2 linked regions of the Anolis sagrei genome follow. The protein of the gene in region 1 purifies or fractionates together with the protein of each later gene. This does not show direct contact. Links are inferred from orthologs where the notes say so. Each region holds a gene or a part of one and is shown on either strand. Other genes may lie near its edges.

Region 1 (9,436 bases):
TCATACTCTGCGTGGACACTGCTACAGCAGATTTGCAGACTATGCATCCCTGGGACACTCCTATATGCAGATGACATAGCACTCGGCCACATATAATATTTATGATATTATAATGTAATGCAATATAATAATACGATATTATAATTATATATTTATATTACATGTAATATTACTCACAATATTATGATATAGTGGTATGGCATCTTCTCACCCCTAGAATGGCTAAATCCAATGGTTCTTCCCTGTTGGGCTCCTTTTCTACAAGTGCACTTTTATCACTATCTCACCCAGGGTTTTAACTTTTTACTATTTTACCTCATCCATTTGGCCCGCCCTCTGTGTCTGGTTTTACTATGCTGTTTTATATTGTTGATTTTGTTATGATGTATTTTGTCATTGTGTGTTTATTATGTTGTATTATTTTGGGCTTGGCCACATGTTAACCGCACCGAGTCCCCTTTGGGGAGATGGTTAGGGTTATAAATAAAGTGTATTATTATTATTATTATTAGTATTATTATTGTGCAATATATATGTTTAATGCTGATACTGTACTATGCTAATAATATCATATATTGTATGTAATATATACCTTTTAACCCGCTCTGAGTCCCCTTCGGGGTGTTTACAAATGCAGAGTAAACGACATAAAGGAAATTGAATGACTTGACGATGGAACTGGACAATGCTTGATAATAAAAAGAGATGCTAATTATGTTATTATTGTTGTTGTTTTATACTGTTTTGATGTTTTAACTTGTTTTATGATATTATCTGTACTGTTTTGTTGGAAACCGCCTTGAGTCGCCGATTGACTGAGAAAGGCAGTATACAAATACAGTAAATAATTATTATTATTTTTGTCGTGTCAGGAGCAACTTCAGAAACTGCAACTCGCTTCTGGTGTGAGAGAATTGGCTGTCTGCAAGGACATTGCCCAGGGGACGCCCGGATGTTTTTGCCATCCTTGTGGGAAGCCTCTCTCATGTCCCCGCATGAGGAGCTGGAGCTGATAGAGGGAGCTCATCCGCCTCTCCCCGGATTCGAACCTGCGACCTGTCGGTCTTCAGTCCTTCTGGCACAGGGGTTTAACCCACTGCGCCACCGGGGTCTCCTAGTAAATAAATAATAAATAAATATAAATGCCATAAATAAATCTATATAAATAAAAATGTAATGTTCGTTTGTGGGATTAACAGAACTCCAAAACCACTGGACAAATTGACACCAAATTTGGACACAAGACACCTATCAGGCCAATGTATGTCCTTAACTCATAAAAACACTAAAAAACATAGCAGAAGGGACTTAAAAAGCTCCAAAAAGCTAAATGACGAAAAGCTAAATGACAATACAGAAAAAAGGGAAGAAAGTGGGAAGGAAGTAGAGAAAAAAAAAAGAAAGAAAGAAAGAAAAGAAAGAGGGAGGGGAAAAAAGAAGGAAAGGGAGAAGGAAGCATGGAAGCAAAGAGAGAAGGAAGGAAGGAAAGAAGGAAGGAAGAAAAGAGAGACGTAGCGAACCTGGATTTCAGGAAGGCCTTCGACAAGGTCCCCCATGACCTTCTGGCAAACAAACTAGTCCAATGTGGGCTAGGCAAAACTACGGTGAGGTGGATCAGTAATTGGTTAAATGGACGAACCCAGAGGGTGATTCTCCCCAATGCTTCCTCTTCATTCTGGAAAGAAGTGCCATCAGCAGGGTTCCGTCCTGGGCCCGGTCCTGCTCAGGATCTTGATTAATGACTTAGATGAAGGGCTAGAAGGCAGGATCAAGTTTGCAGACGACACCAAATTGGGAGGGAGAGCCAATACTCCAGAGGACAGGAGCAGGATTCAAAACGATCTTGACAGATTAGAGAGATGATTGGCCAAAACTAACAAAATGAAGTTCAACAGGGACAAATGCAAGATACTACACTTTGGCAGAAAAAACAAAATGCGAAGATACAGATTGGGGGACAACGCCTGGCTCGAAAGCAGTACGTGTGAAAAAGATCTTGGAGTCCTCGTGGACAACAAGTTAAACATGAGCCAACAATGTGATGCGACGGCAAAAGAAGGCCAATGGGATTTTGGCCTGCATCAATAGGAGCCTAGTGTCTAGATCCAGGGAAGTCATGCTACCCCTCTATTACGCTTTGGTTAGACCACACCTGGAATATTGTGTCCAATTCTGGGCACCACAATTGAAGAGAGATATTAACAAGCTGGAATGTGTCCAGAGGAGGGCGACTAAAATGATTAAGAGTCTGGAGAACAAGCCCTAAGAGGAGTGGCTTAAAGAGCTGGGCATGTTTAGCCAGAAGAAGAGAAGGCTGAGAGGGGATATGATAGCCATGTATAAATATGTGAGAGGAAGCCACAGGGAGGAGGGAGCAAGCTTGTTTTCTGCTTCCCTGGAGACTAGGACGCGGAACAATGGCTTCAAACTACAGGAGAGGAGATTCCATCTGAACATGAGGAAGAACTTCCTGACTGTGAGAGCCATTCAGCAGTGGAACTCTCTGGTGTGGTGGAGGCTCCTTCTTTGGAAGCTTTTAAACAGAGGCTGGATGGCCATCTGTCAGGGGTGATTTGAATGCAATATTCCTGCTTCTTGGCAGAATGGGGTTGGATTGGATGGCCCATGAGGTCTCTTCCAACTCTTGGATTCTATGACAGCAGAAGAGAAAGAAAAGGGGGGAAGGAAGAAAAGAGATTGAGAAGGGAGAGAAGGAAAGGAAAAAAGGGAAAGAATGAAGGAAAGAGGGAGCGAAGGATGGGGGAAGATGTAGAGAAAGAGGGAGGGAAGGAAAGAAGGTGTTGTATTTATGTTGTGTTGTTGAGGCCTTGGCCTTTGTAAGCCGCATCGAGTCCTTCGGGAGATGCTAGCGGGGTACAAATAAAGTTAATAATAATAATAATAATAAGAGAAGGAAGAAAAGAGAGACAGCAAAAGAGAAAGAAATGGGGGGAAGGAAGGAAAGAAGGAAGGAGGGAAAGAAGGAGAGAAAGAGGGAAGGTTGGCCACAGCAACACGTGGCAGGTACAGCTAGCAAATAAATAAATAAATAAATAAATAATAGAGGGAGCAATGATGGGAGGAGGGGACCCATTTTGTAATGTCTGGGGAAGCAAAATAAGTCATGTGTCAGGGGCCCTCGAAGACTGCCCTGTTGTTGTTCATTCGTTCAGTCGTCTCTGACTCTTCGTGACCTCATGGACCAGTCCACACCAGAGCTCCCTGTCGGCCGTCACCACCCCCAGCTCCTTCAAGGTCAGTCCCATCACTTCAAGGATGCCATCCATCCATCTTGCCCTTGGTCGGCCCCTCTTCCTTTTGCCTTCCACTTTCCCCAGCATCATTGTCTTCTCTAGGCTTTGCTGTCTCCTCATGATGTGGCCAAAGTACTTCAACTTTGTCTCTATTCTCCTTCCCTCCAGTGAGCAGTCGGGCTTTATTTCCTGGAGGATGGACTGGTTGGATCTTCTCGCAGTCCAAGGCACTCTCAGCACTTTCCTCCAACACCACAGCTCAAAAGCACTGATCTTCCTTCGCTCAGCCTTCCCTAAGGTCCAGCTCTCACATCCGTAGGTGACTACAGGAAATACCATGGCTTTGACTAGGCGGATCTTTGTTGCCAGTGTGATGTCTCTACTCTTTACTATTTTATCGAGATTGGACATTGCTCTCCTCCCAAGAAGGAAGCGTCTTCTGATTTCCTGGCCACAGTCTGCATCTGCAGTCATCTTTGCACCTAGAAATACAATGTCTGTCACGGCCTCCACATTTTCTCCCTCTATTTCCCAGTTGTCAATCATTCTTGTTGCCATAATCTTGGTTTTTTTTTTACGTTTAGCTGCAACCCGGCTTTTGCGCTTTCTTCTTTCACCTTGATTAGAAGGCTCCTCAGCTCCTCCTCGCTTTCGGCCATCAGAGTGGTGTTATGTGGCGGGTACAGCTAGTAAATAAATAAGTAATAATAGAGGGAGCAATGATGGGAGGAGGGGGCCCATTTTGTAATGTCTGGCGAAGCAAAAGAAGTCTTGTGTCAGAGGCCCTCCAAGACTGCCATATAACCCAGAATATCAAGGACGAAAATACCACAATCTCTGCTTTGAACTGGGTTATCCACACTGCCATATATCCCAGTTCAAAGCAAATAATGTGAGATTTTATTCAGCTGAGTGGATGGAGCCGCTTGTTTGATCTCCTCCCCTGCCTCAAAGCGCCTCGAGGCTTCAGAGTCAGGAGTAGGCCTCAAGCCTCGGCCTCGCTTGCTGTCGCGCGCCCAGGGAAAGCGGCGGCGGCGGAGGAAGCCCTGGCCACTCACCAGGCCGCCCTCAGCAGCGCCTTGGCGGGCAGGAAGCCCAGGACGCGCTCCACCACCTCCGCCAAGCTGCTCAGCACGAGCACGCCGCCGCCTCCTTCTCCTCTCGCGCAGGCCTCCATCGCCCACCAAATCCACAGGCCTTCCCCGTTGCCCCGGCAACCTCTCCCGGAAGCGGAAGGCCGCGCCTGCGCAATACGTCCCTCCTCCTCGTGATGGACACCGGCGGGGGCGTGGCTTGGAGCTCACGAGGCGGGATTGGTTCCTTCCCAAACCCTGCCTCTTGGACTTCATTTCCCAGCAGCCCTTGCGGGGCTTGGCTTTTGTTGAGGTTGAGTCCCCGAAGGGAGAGAGGAGGGCGGAGTACAAACAAAGCAAAACAGCAGAGAGGAAACAACCAGGCACATCTTAACACCTCTCAACAGAACATTTTCCCAGGCTCAGCCAGGCCTTCAAATGCTAATGAAGGTGGTCAGTTGAAACATTCACACCTAGCTTCAGCAGGGAAGAGCTCCTTGCCCCACCCCAGCCATTCCACAGATATATAAACCCATTGTTCTAATTCCCACAGACCTCACTACCTCTGAGGAAGCTTGCCATAGATGCAGGCGAAACGTCAGGAGAAATGCCTCTAGAACATGGTCCTGTAGCCCGAAAAAACCCACAAGAACCTAAAGCTTTATTATTTTAATACATTATTATTATTCTAATAATAATGTGCTATTCTAATATATATTTTATATACATATAATATATATATATTAGAATAGCACATTATTATTAGAATATACATATACATATAATAGGAGGCCCCGGTGGTGCAGTGGGTTAAAGCACTGAGCTGCTGAGCTTGTTGATCAAAACGTCGCAGGATCGATTCCGGGGAGCGGCGTGAGCTTCCGCTGTCAGCCCTAGCTTCTGCCAACCTAGCAGTTCGAAAACATGCAAATGTGAGTATTTATTTATTATTTATTTATTTACTGTACTTGTATACTGTCGTTTCTCAGCCTAGCTGGCGACTCAACGCGGTTTACAAGATACACAATCCACAGTATACAATTTAAAAACCATAAAAAACATAATACACAATGTTGACACATAAATCACTATTCAATGCATCTCTTAACTAAAATCGTGGTCCAGTTTCGTCATCCATATTACCAATCTTTAATCATCCCATTCATTGCACCGAGTTAACCAAATGCCTGCTCGAACAGTAGATCAATAGGTACCGCTCCGGTGGGAAGGTAACGGCGCTCCATGCAGTCATGCCGGCCACATGACCTTGGAGGTGTCTACGGACAACGCTGGCTCTTCGGCTTAGAAATGGAGATGAGCACCACACCCCAGAGTCAGACATGACTGGACTTAATGTCAGGGGACTACCTTTACCTTTACTAATATAATATAGAATATTATATTATTATTATTATTATATTATATTGTATATACACATAATATTTATATTATAATGGTATGCAATATAATATTAAGATAAAATAAGGTATTATTTTAATACATTATTATTATTCTAATAATAGTGTGCTATTCTAATAATATAATGTAATATATTATATTCTATATTGTATATTCTATACGTAATATTTATAATATTATAATGTAATGCAATATAATAATAAGATAAAATAATAATAAGGTTTTAATACATTATTATTATTCTAATTTTTTTTTTGCTGTTTCAGGAGTGACTTGAGAAACTGCAAGTTGTTTCTGGTGTGAGAGAATTGGTCGTCTGCAAGGACATTGCCCAGGGTGTTTTGATCTTTTACCATCCTTGTGGGAGGCTTCTCTCATGTCCCCGCATGAGGAGCTGGAGCTGATAGAGGGAGCTCATCCATGCTCTCCCCGGATTCGAACCGGCAACCTGTGGGTCTTCAGTCCTACCAGCACAGGGCTTTAACCCTCTGCGCCACAAGAGGCTCCTATAATAATAATAATAATAATAATAATAATAATAATAATAATAATAATAATAATGTGCTATTCTAATAATATATTCTATATTGTATATACATATAATATTTATAATATTATAATGTAATGCAATATAATCTATATAAATAAAAATGTAATGTTCGTTTGTGGGATTAACAGAACTAAAAAACCACTGGACGAATTGACACCAAATTTGGATACAAGACACCTAACAACCCAATGTATGTCCTTCACTCAAAAAAATTGATTTTGTCATTTGGGAGTGGTAGTTGCTGGGATTTATAGTTCATCTACAATCAAAGAGCATTCTGAACCCCACCAACGACGGAATTGAACCAAACTTAGCACACAGTCCTCCCCCAAAAGAAAATACTGGAAGGGTTTGGTGGGCAGTGTCCTTTGGTTTTGGAGTTGTAGTTCACCTACATCCAGAGATCACTCTGGACTCAAATAATGATGGATCTGGACCAAACTCTACACGAATACTCAATATGCCCAAATGTGAACACTGGTAGAGTTTGGGGAAAATAGAATCTTGACATTTGGGAGTTGTAGTTGCTGGGATTTATAGTTCACCTACAATCACAGAGCATTCTGAACCCCACCAATGATAGAATTGGGCCAAACCTCCCACACAGAATCCCCATGTGGGCCACAGCAACACATGGCAGAGGACGGCTAGTACTACTAATAATATATTATAATTATATATTTTATATTGCATGTAATATTACTAGGCAAAACATCAGGAGAGAATGTTTCTTGAACATGCCCAGATGGCCCAGAAAACTCACAGCAACCCAGTGATTTCATCCATGAAAGCCTTTGATAATACAATAATTCACAATAATGTACATTGGATGTTTTTGGTTCCACTCTCTGTGGTCATTAATCAGGATTGGACTTCAGCTTTTCACAGTTGACAGGCCTAACTCTGAGCATGCTTTCCCTCATCTCCAAAATATCAGCCACGTTAATATTTTTTAAAAATACCATACCAAGCAATCAAAAGCAGACACTCTCCAGAGAAAAACAGAATTCTTAATTCTTTATTCATAAACTTGATGCAAGTTTACAGATTGACCGTACACTGCTAAATAATTCTGCAATGAAAATGAAACTCGATAGAAGGAAGGAAGGAAGGGAAAAAAGAAAAACGCAAGCCGAGTGTGCACCCGTGGTTCTGCGTAGTCATTAGGAGATGGAAGGATCCCGTAAAGCACTCCAGGAGTTTTCTCGCCTCAGCTGTAGAAACGCAAGACTTGGCTTCTGACTTAAGGCTGCTCGAGAAGGGGTTTAGGGAGGAATCGTATGTACAACCAAATACGTGAGAAATTGGGGGGGGGGGGGGGGAGAAATGTCATCTCTATCTCACCTCTAAAAGACTGCACATTTTTAGGCCAAATATTCTCATTTTCTGGATTTTTTTTTTTAAATAATAATAATAGAACAGGACATGAGACCGAATGGTCCGAAGCCAAAAAGAAAAAGAAAACACCTTTATTTACTTATGTAAAGGGGCCAGAGCGAGCCAAGAAAAATCTGGACTTCTACAAAACACAAATGTGTACACCAGGCAAGGGCACATTTGGCCCCTCTGGGTGTTTTAGACTCCAACTCCCACCATTCCTGGCAGCCTCAGGCCCCTTCTTTTCCCGTCAGCTGCTTAAGCACTGAGCTATTGACTGCAGTCACAAGATTTAGAAAACGTCCTGCATACAAAACTGCCATTCAAGCAAATATCCAGGCTGACCTAACATTGGTTATGGGCCCAACACTCAGCTTAAGCAACTGAGAGGGGAAAAGGAAAGGGCCTGAGGCTGTTAGGAATGGTGGAAGTTGAAGGCCAAAACATCTGGAGGGTCCAAATTTGCCCATGCCTGATCTACACACTGACTTAACCATGGTTATGGGCCCAGCACTCAGGTTAAGTGGTTGTGGGGGGAAAGGAAAGGGCCTGAGGCTGTTAGGAATGGTGGAAGTTGGAGTCCAAAACATCTGGAGGGCCCAACTTTGCCCATGCCTGGTCTACATACTGACCTAACATTGGTTATGGGCCCAGAACTCAGCTTAAGAGACTGGAAGTCCCAAGTTTGCCCATTCCTGGTCTACACACTGATTTAACCATGGTTATGGGCCCAGCACTCAGCTGAAGAGACTGGAAGTCCCAAGTTTGCCCATTCCTGGTCTACACACTGACCTAACATTGGTTATGGGCCTAGCACTTTGCCCAACTTTGCCCATGCCTGGTCTACACACTGACTTAACATTGGTTATGGGCCCAGAACTCAGCTTAAGAGACTGGAAGTCCCAAGTTTTCCCATTCCTGGTCTACACACTGATTTAACCATGGTTATGGGCCCAGCACTCAGCTTAAGAGACTGGAAGCCCCAAGTTTGCCCATTCCTGGTCTACACACTGACTTAACCATGGTTATGGGCCCAGCACTCAGCTTAAGCGGCTGTGGGGGGGAAAGGAAAGGGCCTGAGGCTGTTAGGAATGGTGGGAGTTGAAGGTCAAAACATCTGGAGGGAGGGCAAGTTTGCCCATGCCTGGTCTACACACTGACTTAACCATGGTTATGGGCCCAGCACTCAGGTTAAGTGGTTGTGGGGGAAAAGGAAGGGGCCTGAGGCTGTTAGGAATGGTGGGAGTTGAAGGCCAAAACATCTGGAGGGCCCAACGTTGCCCATGCCTGGTCTACACACTGATTTAACCATGGTTATGGGCCCAGCACTCAGCTTAAGAGACTGGAAGCCCCAAGTTTGCCCATTCCTGGTCTACACACTGACTTAACCATGGTTATGGGCCCAGCACTCAGCTTAAGTGGTTGTGGGGGAAAAGGGGCTGAGGCTGTTAAAAATGGTGGAAGTTGGAGTCCAAAACATCTGGAGGGAGGGCCCAACTTTGCTCATGCCTGGTCTACACACTGACCTAACATTGGTTATGGGCCCAGCACTCAGCTTAAGCGGCTGACGTGGAAAAGGAAAGGGCCTGAGGCTGTTAGGAATGATGGAATTTGAAGTCCAAAGCAACTGAAGGGCCCAACTTTGCCCATGCCTGGTCTACACACTGACCTAACATTGGTTATGGGCCCAGCACTCAGCTTAAGCAGCTGAGGGGGGAAAGGAAGGGGCCTGAGGCTGTGAGGAATGGTGAAACTTGAAGTCC
Region 2 (8,915 bases), on another chromosome or scaffold:
CCCGAAAGCAAACTGTTAGTCGGTGTAGCTGCTTAAGAATTGGGGTAGTTCTTTCCTTGTATCCCGCTCCTGTAAGCAGTCTAGCTGCTGACCTTTGTACCAGTTGCAGTTTCCAAATGCTCTTTGGGGCATGAAACAAAGTTTGTTCATAGCCAAACCATCAAAAAGTAAAGGACTCAGCCACCCATACAGGCAAATTGGGGATATGGAGCTATTTGAAATCCTGGATAAGAGATGCTCAAACCTGCATTACTACTGTCAGTGTACGCTTTTTCGCCATCTTTGTACTGAATAGTTCTGAAAAGAGCTAACTACTTGGAAATATATTAACACTAAAAAAGCAATGTTTATGATAGCTATAAATGTCAACATGTTTACCATCAAGTCATTACTTGGTGATGAGGCTACAAAGACACTTCCTGTATTTTCCTTAGGACTGCTATAATGTTTTTATTAGGCAAGACACAAGCCTGTAAAGATATTACTCAAACACTTTAATTTCTAATACTGCTGTGTGTGATGCCCGTTTTAACGATCTGAAGAGAAACCAATACATAGACAATACAGTCACACCTGGACAGATAGGAAATACCACATTGACAGAAAGAAAAGAAAGGTGCAAAGCACACTCACTGTTATCAATATGCTTGTTTTTATTAGATGGAAGTGTCCCTAAGGGCCCTTAGCAGGGTTGAGAGTGTATACAAAGACCTATAACACACCTGAGCCTAAGGGCATCTTCCACCATCATCCAGTACTCAGAGCCTAGTTTTGACCCAATTCCAATCTGCTAAAACTGTAAACTTATTCTGATGTGAGACTTCAGATAACGGGCCTCATTATTATAGAGAAATTAAAGGCTCACTGGGAGAAATACCTACAGCTAGTGCTCAAAAAGAATTGACTAATTTGGAGCGCAACTACAGTATGCTGTAGAATAAATAAAGTTTGGCACTACAGGCAGTCACTATGTTTAGAACAAGAGAGGTCTGTAAGTTTGTTCTTAGATTGAATTTGTATGCAAGTCAGAACGGGTACATTTATAAGGTAACTCCATCCCTTTCTATCTATAGATCACATAGGGAAGGGTGAATAACCCTATAGTGTTTGTTTTGCTACCTGTGCCCCTGTTTGGAAGATTTCACCTCAGGAAAGAATGCTTCTGGAACATGACCATACAGCCCAAAAAAAAACTTACAGCAACCCAGTAATTCCAGCCATGAAAGTCTTCAGCAACACATTGATTTCACCTCACTTTTTGTCCCTGTGAGAACTGGATTTTGGACAATGTGGCTTGTTGTGGAAACAAGGATTGGCAATAAACTTCAGTGCAGAAAGAACCCTTTCCCCAGAAGTGGAGTTCCCTTCCTTCCGAGGGGTAGATTTCTCTCACTTCCTGTTGTTTCAGCCCCCATTCTTAACTATGAGTCATCTGTAAGACAGATGTTTGTAACTCAGGGACGGCCAGTACCCTACCTATGCTATGGAGCCGGGAGAAAGAGTTTTAAAAGGCCTTTTGCCTTCTGTGACCACAAACTCCAACTCCTTCCAGGAGGAGGATTAGATGATGATATTGTTACTACATATGTGATTGAAAACTTTTCTTTGTTTCCAGGCCCTGGATACACTGCTAGTCCAGTTAACATATTTGGCAATAATTAACTTACATGCCCTAATTAACCTTGTTGGCCCTGGTAAATTGTTTTGTTTTATGTTAGATATAATTTATTTGATAGGTTATGTTTAATTTCTTAGAATCATAAAGCTGGAAGAGACGTCATGGGCCATCCAGTCCAACCCCCTGCCAAGAAGCAGGAATACTGCATTCAAAGCACCCCTGACAGGTGGCCATCTAGCCTCTGTTTAAAAACCTCCAAAGAAGGAGCCTCCACCATACTCCGGGGCAGAGAGTTCCACTGCTGAACGGCTCTCACAGTCAGGAAGTTCTTCCTCATGTTCAGATGGAATCTCCTTTCTTTTAAATTTAGATGTTAAGTTATAATTATTTGTTATATGTTGGGTTATTTTTGCTATTATGTTTGTAATGGTTGTTGCATTTAGGCATTGAATGTTTGCCCTTTTGTGGTTGGAATCTGCCCTGAGTCCCTTTGGGGGGATAGGGCAGAATAAAAATAAAGTTATTATTATTGTTATTATTCCATGTTTATCCCCCAGAAGAGAAGACTGAGAGGAAACATGAGAGATGTGTTTAAATATCCCAAAGGATGTCCTAAAGGAGAGGGAACAGACCTTGTTTTTGCTGCCCTGGGAACTCACTGAAGTTATGGGTGGGAAAGGAGATCCCAACTGAACATTATGAGGAGGAACTTCTAGAGGTGTTCAACAGTGGAACTCATTGCCTCGGAGACTGGTGGAAGCTTCTCCTTTGAAGCTTTGAAACAGAGGTTGAATTGTCATCGGTCGGGAGGGTTTTGATTGTGTCCTTCTTTAGAAGGGAGTTGGACTGAGAGTTGGACTGGACAGCCCTCAAGGTCTCTTCCAGCTCTGTGATTCTATAGTCCTTTTTCTCCATAAACATTCTAATGTCTATGATACTAGACTGCCAGCTGTTGGGAGGGCTTTGATTGGGTTTTACAGGAGAAGGGGGTTGGACTGGGTGGCCCTTGGGATCCCTTCCAGCTCTAGGATTCTATAATCCTATAGCCCTATTTTTCCATGAACCTTTTAATGTCTATGAGCCTGGATGGTCATCTGTCAGGTGGGATCAAATTGTGTTTTTCCTGCATGACATAAGGGGATTGGGATAGATGGTCCTTTAGGATCCCTTCCAGCTCTAGAATTCTATGATTCTATAGCCCTATTTCCCCACGAACCTTCCAATACCTATGAGACTGGATGGCCATCTGTCGGGAGGGCTCCTGAACATCAGAATAGTTGGCTTGGAGTGTCTCAACCCTAGGATTCTACTATTCTGTGTTTCGATAGCCCTATTGCTCCAAGAACCTGCTGATTTCTATGAGGCTGGATGTCCATCTGTCAGGAAGACTTTGACTGTGTCCTGAATGCAAGATAATTGGTTTGGGGCCCCTTTCAACTCTAGGATTGTATGATTCTGTGATTCAATAGCCTTGTTTCTACATGAACTTAATGTCTATGAAGCTGAATGTCCATGTGTACGGTAGGATTGGATTGTGTTTTTCTGCATGGCAAAAGGGGGTTGGGTTGGATGGCATTTGCGATCCCTCTCAGCTCTAGGATTCTATGATCCTAGAGCCATATTGCTCAAAGAACCTACTGCTGTCTAGGAGGCTGAATGATCATCTGTCGGGAGGACTTTGATTGTATCCTGAATGGCAAAATAGAGTTGGTTTGAGGTCCCTTTCAACCTTAGGATTCTATGATTCTGTGACTCGATAGCCCTATTGCTTCAAGAACGTGCTTATGAGGGTCGATGGCCATCCCTCTGGAGGGTTTTGATTGTGTTCCTTTATGGAAGAAACGGCTCGACTCTCGGGTTCTGCCGCCCTAGTTCTCTCCCTGAACTTGATGGTGCCTATGAGGCTGGATGGCCATCTGCCGGGAGGGCTTTCCTGCCTGGCAAAAGGGGGTCGGACTGGATGGCCTTGGAGGATCCCTTCTAACTTTGTGATACAAAGGAATACAACACTATGCCAGTCCCAGGGCGACGCACTTGCCATTCAAAGGGGGCCCCTCCCCCTCAGCGGCCAATTTCCTCAGTAGGCCGCCATGACACTTAAAGCGGGACGGTAGCGCGACAACGGTGCCGTGTGGCACGACCCTAACCGCCCCCTTCGCCTCCCTGAGGTAAAATACGTAGCCTTCGCCTCGAGTTGTCCCCTCAAACCTGGCCCAGGAAGGCCTTACCAGTCCGCGGCCTCTTTCTCGTCGTCGTCGCTTCAACGAATCCCCTCAGAGAAAGCGAGAAAAGGCAAAAAGCCCGAAAGGGGAGGGGCGCCGCGCGTAGATCCCGCCCCCTCCGCCTCCCATTGGCCCGCCGCGCCCCGCCAGCCAATCCTCTCCCCTAGTATTAAGAGTGGCAGGGCTCTCCGCCAATCCAATGCCTTCTCCTCTTTTCCACCTCGGATTAAAGAGCGGTTGTTGTGTTTTTTTTTTCTTTTCCGGAATTGGTTGGCCTTCGCCCGCCCCCAGCCAATGGGAGCGCGGTTTAAGATTGAAACAACGGGAAGGCACGGTAGGACTTTTGCGATTGGGCCGCTGATAAAGGAGGTGGGCGGAACGAAGGGAGGGGGTCCAAGACCGCGCGTGCGCACACCGTTTCCCTTCGATGCCCAATTGCAGAGAATGGCTTGGAAAGTGTGTACGTGAGGATGTGCACAGCAGCAGAAAGAGGAGGGGGCTTTTCAAATGGAAGAGTAGGGAAGGCAACATGTGCCAAGTCTAAGTTGGTGGGGCAGCCCAATCGATTTCAAGGCCCTTCAGGACCTGTAAAGGCCCTTCAATAGATTTAAACACACACACATATATATTCTCAGTTTGTACCAAGGCTGTATGTTAGGTGAAATGGTCTTCTGAAGTCACTGGCCGTTTAGATTTCAATGTACAACGCTTTTATGAGTCTCTAAACCTCTCTCCTTATGCTGGTCTATGACCTTAATTAGCATTTGTTGGTGTGTGAAATCACTGGATTGGCTGTGGCTGGCTGAAGTGGCCCTTTTGTGAAGTCACTGGATTGGCTGTGGATGGGTGAAGTGGCCCTCTGTGAAATCACTGGATTGGCTGTGGTTAGACGACCTGGCCCTTTGTGAAGTCACTGGGTTGGCTGTGGATGGGTGAAGTGGCCCTCTTGTGAAGTCACTGGATTGGCTGTGGTTAGACGACCTGGCCCTTTGTGAAGTCACTGGGTTGGCTGTGGCTGGTTGAAGTGGCCCTCTTGTGAAGTCACTGGATTGGCTTTGGCTAGGTGAAGTGGTCCTCTGTGAAATCACAGGATTGGCTGTGGCTGGGTGAAGTGGCCCTCTTGTGAAGTCACTGGATTGGCTGTGGTTAGACGACCTGGCCCTTTGTGAAGTCACTGGGTTGGCTGTGGCTGGGTGAAGTGGCCCTCTTGTGAAGTCACTGGATTGGCTTTGGCTAGGTGAAGTGGTCCTCTGTGAAATCACAGGATTGGCTGTGGCTGGGTGAAGTGGCCCTCTTGTGAAGTCACTGGATTGGCTTTGGCTAGGTGAAGTGGTCCTCTGTGAAATCACAGGATTGGCTGTGGCTGGGTGAAGTGGCCCTCTTGTGAAGTCACTGGATTGGCTGTGGTTAGACGACCTGGCCCTTTGTGAAGTCACTGGGTTGGCTGTGGCTGGGTGAAGTGGCCCTCTTGTGAAGTCACTGGATTGGCTTTGGCTAGGTGAAGTGGTCCTCTGTGAAATCACAGGATTGGCTGTGGCTGGGTGAAGTGGCCCTCTTGTGAAGTCACTGGATTGGCTGTGGTTAGACGACCTGGCCCTTTGTGAAGTCACTGGGTTGGCTGTGGCTGGTTGAAGTGGCCCTCTTGTGAAGTCACTGGATTGGCTGTGGTTAGACGACCTGGCCCTTTGTGAAGTCACTGGGTTGGCTGTGGCTGGGTGAAGTGGCCCTCTTGTGAAGTCACTGGATTGGCTTTGGCTAGGTGAAGTGGTCCTCTGTGAAATCACAGGATTGGCTGTGGCTGGGTGAAGTGGCCCTCTTGTGAAGTCACTGGATTGGCTGTGGTTAGACGACCTGGCCCTTTGTGAAGTCACTGGGTTGGCTGTGGCTGGTTGAAGTGGCCCTCTTGTGAAGTCACTGGATTGGCTTTGGCTAGGTGAAGTGGTCCTCTGTGAAATCACAGGATTGGCTGTGGCTGGGTGAAGTGGCCCTTTTCTGAAGTCACTGGATTGGCTTTGGCTAGGTGAAGTGACCCTCTGTGAAATCACTGGATTGGCTGTGGATGGGTAAAGTGGCCCTTTTTTTAAATCACTGGATTGGCTTTGGCTAGGTGAAGTGACCCTCTGTGAAATCACTGGATTGGCTGTGGCTGGGTGAAGTGGCCCTCTTGTGAAGTCACTGGATTGGCTGTGGTTAGACGACCTGGCCCTTTGTGAAGTCACTGGGTTGGCTGTGGCTGGGTGAAGTGGCCCTCTTGTGAAGTCACTGGATTGGCTGTGGTTAGACGACCTGGCCCTTTGTGAAGTCACTGGGTTGGCTGTGGCTGGTTGAAGTGGCCCTCTTGTGAAGTCACTGGATTGGCTTTGGCTAGGTGAAGTGGTCCTCTGTGAAATCACAGGATTGGCTGTGGCTGGGTGAAGTGGCCCTTTTCTGAAGTCACTGGATTGGCTTTGGCTAGGTGAAGTGACCCTCTGTGAAATCACTGGATTGGCTATGGATGGGTAAAGTGGCCCTTTTTTTAAATCACTGGATTGGCTTTGGCTAGGTGAAGTGACCCTCTGTGAAATCACTGGATTGGCTGTGGCTGGGTGAAGTGGCCCTCTTGTGAAGTCACTGGATTGGCTGTGGTTTGATGACCTGGCCCTTTGTGAAGCCACTGGGTTGGCTGTGGCTGGGTGAAGTGGCCCTTTGTGAAGCCACTGGGTTGGCTGTGGCTGGGTGAAGTGGCCCTCTTGTGAAGTCACTGGATTGGCTTTGGCTAGGTGAAGTGGTCCTCTGTGAAATCACTGGATTGGCTGTGGCTGGGTGAAGTGGCCCTTTTCTGAAGTCACTGGATTGGCTTTGGCTAGGTGAAGTGACCCTCTGTGAAATCACTGGATTGGCTGTGGCTGGGTGAAGTGGCCCTCTTGTGAAGTCACTGGATTGACTGTGGTTAGACGACCTGGCCCTTTTTGAAGTCACTGGGTTGGCTGTGGCTGGTTGAAGTGGCCCTCTGTGAAGTCACTGGATTGGCTTTGGCTAGGTGAAGTGGCCCTCTGTGAAATCATTGGATGGGCTGTGGATGGGTGAAATGGTCCTCTTGTGAAATCACTGAATTGGCTGTCACTGGGTGAAGTGGCCCTTTTGTGAAGTCACTGGATTGGCAGTGGCTGGCTGGAGTGGCCCTCTTGTGAAGTCGTTGGATTGGTTGTGGTTAAACGGTTCTGGCCCCGCTTACCTCTCCGAACGCATCTCCACCTATGAACCGACTAGAACATTAAGATCGTCTGGGGAGGCCCTGCTCTCGATCCCGCCTGCGTCACAGGCGCGCTTGGCGGGGACGAGAGACAGGGCCTTCTCAGTGGTGGTCCCTCGGCTATGGAATGCCTTGCCGGCAGACATCAGACAGGCACCTTCGTTGCTGACGTTTCGGAGAATGGTCAAGACCTGGCTTTATGAACAAGCGTTTGGCTAAGCAATGCAACCAATCAAGGAAGACGGTAAATGGAACATAGGAACGGCACAAGGACTATGAGAACAGATCTGATTTCAACTGAGGCGTTATATATTTTGTTTGTTGATTTGTCTTGTCTGATTGTTAATTGTTGTGGATCGATGTTGTTGATCCTGTTGTTGCATTGTTATGTTTTAATTGCACTGTAAACCGCATTGAGTCGCCTGTTAAGGGCTGAAAAATGCGGTATAGAAATGAAGCAAATAAATAAATAAATAAATAAATAAAATAGACGACCTGGCCCTTTGTGAAGTCACTGGGTTGGCTTTGGCTAGGTGAAGTGGCCCTCTGAAATCACTGGATTGGCTGTGGATGGGTGAAGTGGCCCTCTGTGAAGTCACTGGATTGGCTGCAGCTGAGTGAATCAACCCTCTGAAGTCACTGGCCTTTTATATTTCAATGTACGATTGTGAAGTCACTGGATTGGCTGTGGTTAGGTGAAGTGGCCCTCTGGTGAAGTCACTGTCAAATCAAGGTGCCCTGTGTATGAAGGGAGGATGAAAGGAAGGGAGAAAGGAAAAGAGCCACAAAAGAGGGCCATGTTGCCCTGGAGACATTGTGCCAGAGCTGGAAAAGGGGGAAAGGGAAGAGAAAAAGAAGGGAAAGAATGGGAAAAGAAAGAAAAAGGAGGAAGGGAGGGGGCGGAATGGAAAAGGGAAAAGGTATAATGTTATGTTTTACTACCACACATTGTATTGATTGAGGTTATTGTTGTATATTTTATGTTGTTCTTGTTTGCATTGTTGTTGTCTTGGGGAGATGGGGCAGGATATAAGTAAAGTTGTTGTTGTTGTTATAAGGGAAGGAAAGAAGGGAAGGGAAATCAAGGGAGAAGGGAGAAGGTGGGTGAGAAAAAAGGAGGGAAGGAAAGGGAAAGATAGAAGAGGGAGGAAGGTGTATGAAAGAAAGCAGGGGAAGGAGGCAGTTCAGGTCCTGAACCGGTGCTTGACGGCTGTGACGGTCTGGATGAGGGCAAACAAATTGAAACTGAATCCAGATAAGGCAGAGTTACTCCTGGTCAGTTGTAAGGCCAAACAGGGGATAGGGTTACAGCCTGTGCTGGACAGGGTTACACTCCCCCTGAAGTCACAGGTTCGCAGCTTGGGAGTTCTGGAGTCAGCTGAGCCTGGAACCCCAGATTTTGGCAGTGGCAGGGGAGTTTTTGCACAATTAAAACTTGTGCGCCAGCTGAACCCATACGTTGAGAAGCCTGACTTGGCCACGGCAGTCCATGCTCTTGTTACATCTCAAATAGACTACTGCAATGTGTTCTACATGAGACTGCCTTTGAAGACTGTTCAGAAGCTTCAAGTAGTCCAACAAGCAGCAGGCAGATTGCTCACCAGAGCAGCATAAAGGGAGCACAGAACCCCCCTGTTGCATCAGCTCTGCTGGCTGCCAGTCTGCTACTGAGAATAATTCAAAGTGCTGGCTTGAGCCCTCGACGATTCTGGTCCAGCTTACCTATATGAACTCATCTCCCTTTATGAGCCAGCTAAAGCAGCTGCGATTGGCAGGGACAAGAGACAGGACCTTCTCGGTGGTGGCTCCTAGGCTGCGGAAATCCCTAGTGAAACTAGATCGG

The links.
Region 2: the proteins of FBXO22 (region 1) and KDM4B purify together in Homo sapiens (affinity purification with western blotting; 3 studies listed by BioGRID, with this or other methods). This does not show direct contact. The link is inferred for Anolis sagrei from reciprocal best matches to the Homo sapiens genes FBXO22 and KDM4B.

Annotation. Positions count from the first base shown.
Region 1 is NC_090029.1:11,579,420-11,588,855, forward strand, and holds the start of FBXO22 (F-box only protein 22), read right to left. Parts: upstream 4,501-9,436; 5' UTR 4,432-4,500; coding exon 4,313-4,431; intron 1-4,312. UniProt on the Homo sapiens protein: Substrate-recognition component of the SCF (SKP1-CUL1-F-box protein)-type E3 ubiquitin ligase complex that is implicated in the control of various cellular processes such as cell cycle control, transcriptional regulation, DNA damage repair, and apoptosis.
Region 2 is NC_090034.1:55,636,748-55,645,662, forward strand, and holds the start of KDM4B (lysine-specific demethylase 4B), read right to left. Parts: upstream 3,935-8,915; 5' UTR 3,847-3,934; intron 1-3,846. UniProt on the Homo sapiens protein: Histone demethylase that specifically demethylates 'Lys-9' of histone H3, thereby playing a role in histone code. Does not demethylate histone H3 'Lys-4', H3 'Lys-27', H3 'Lys-36' nor H4 'Lys-20'.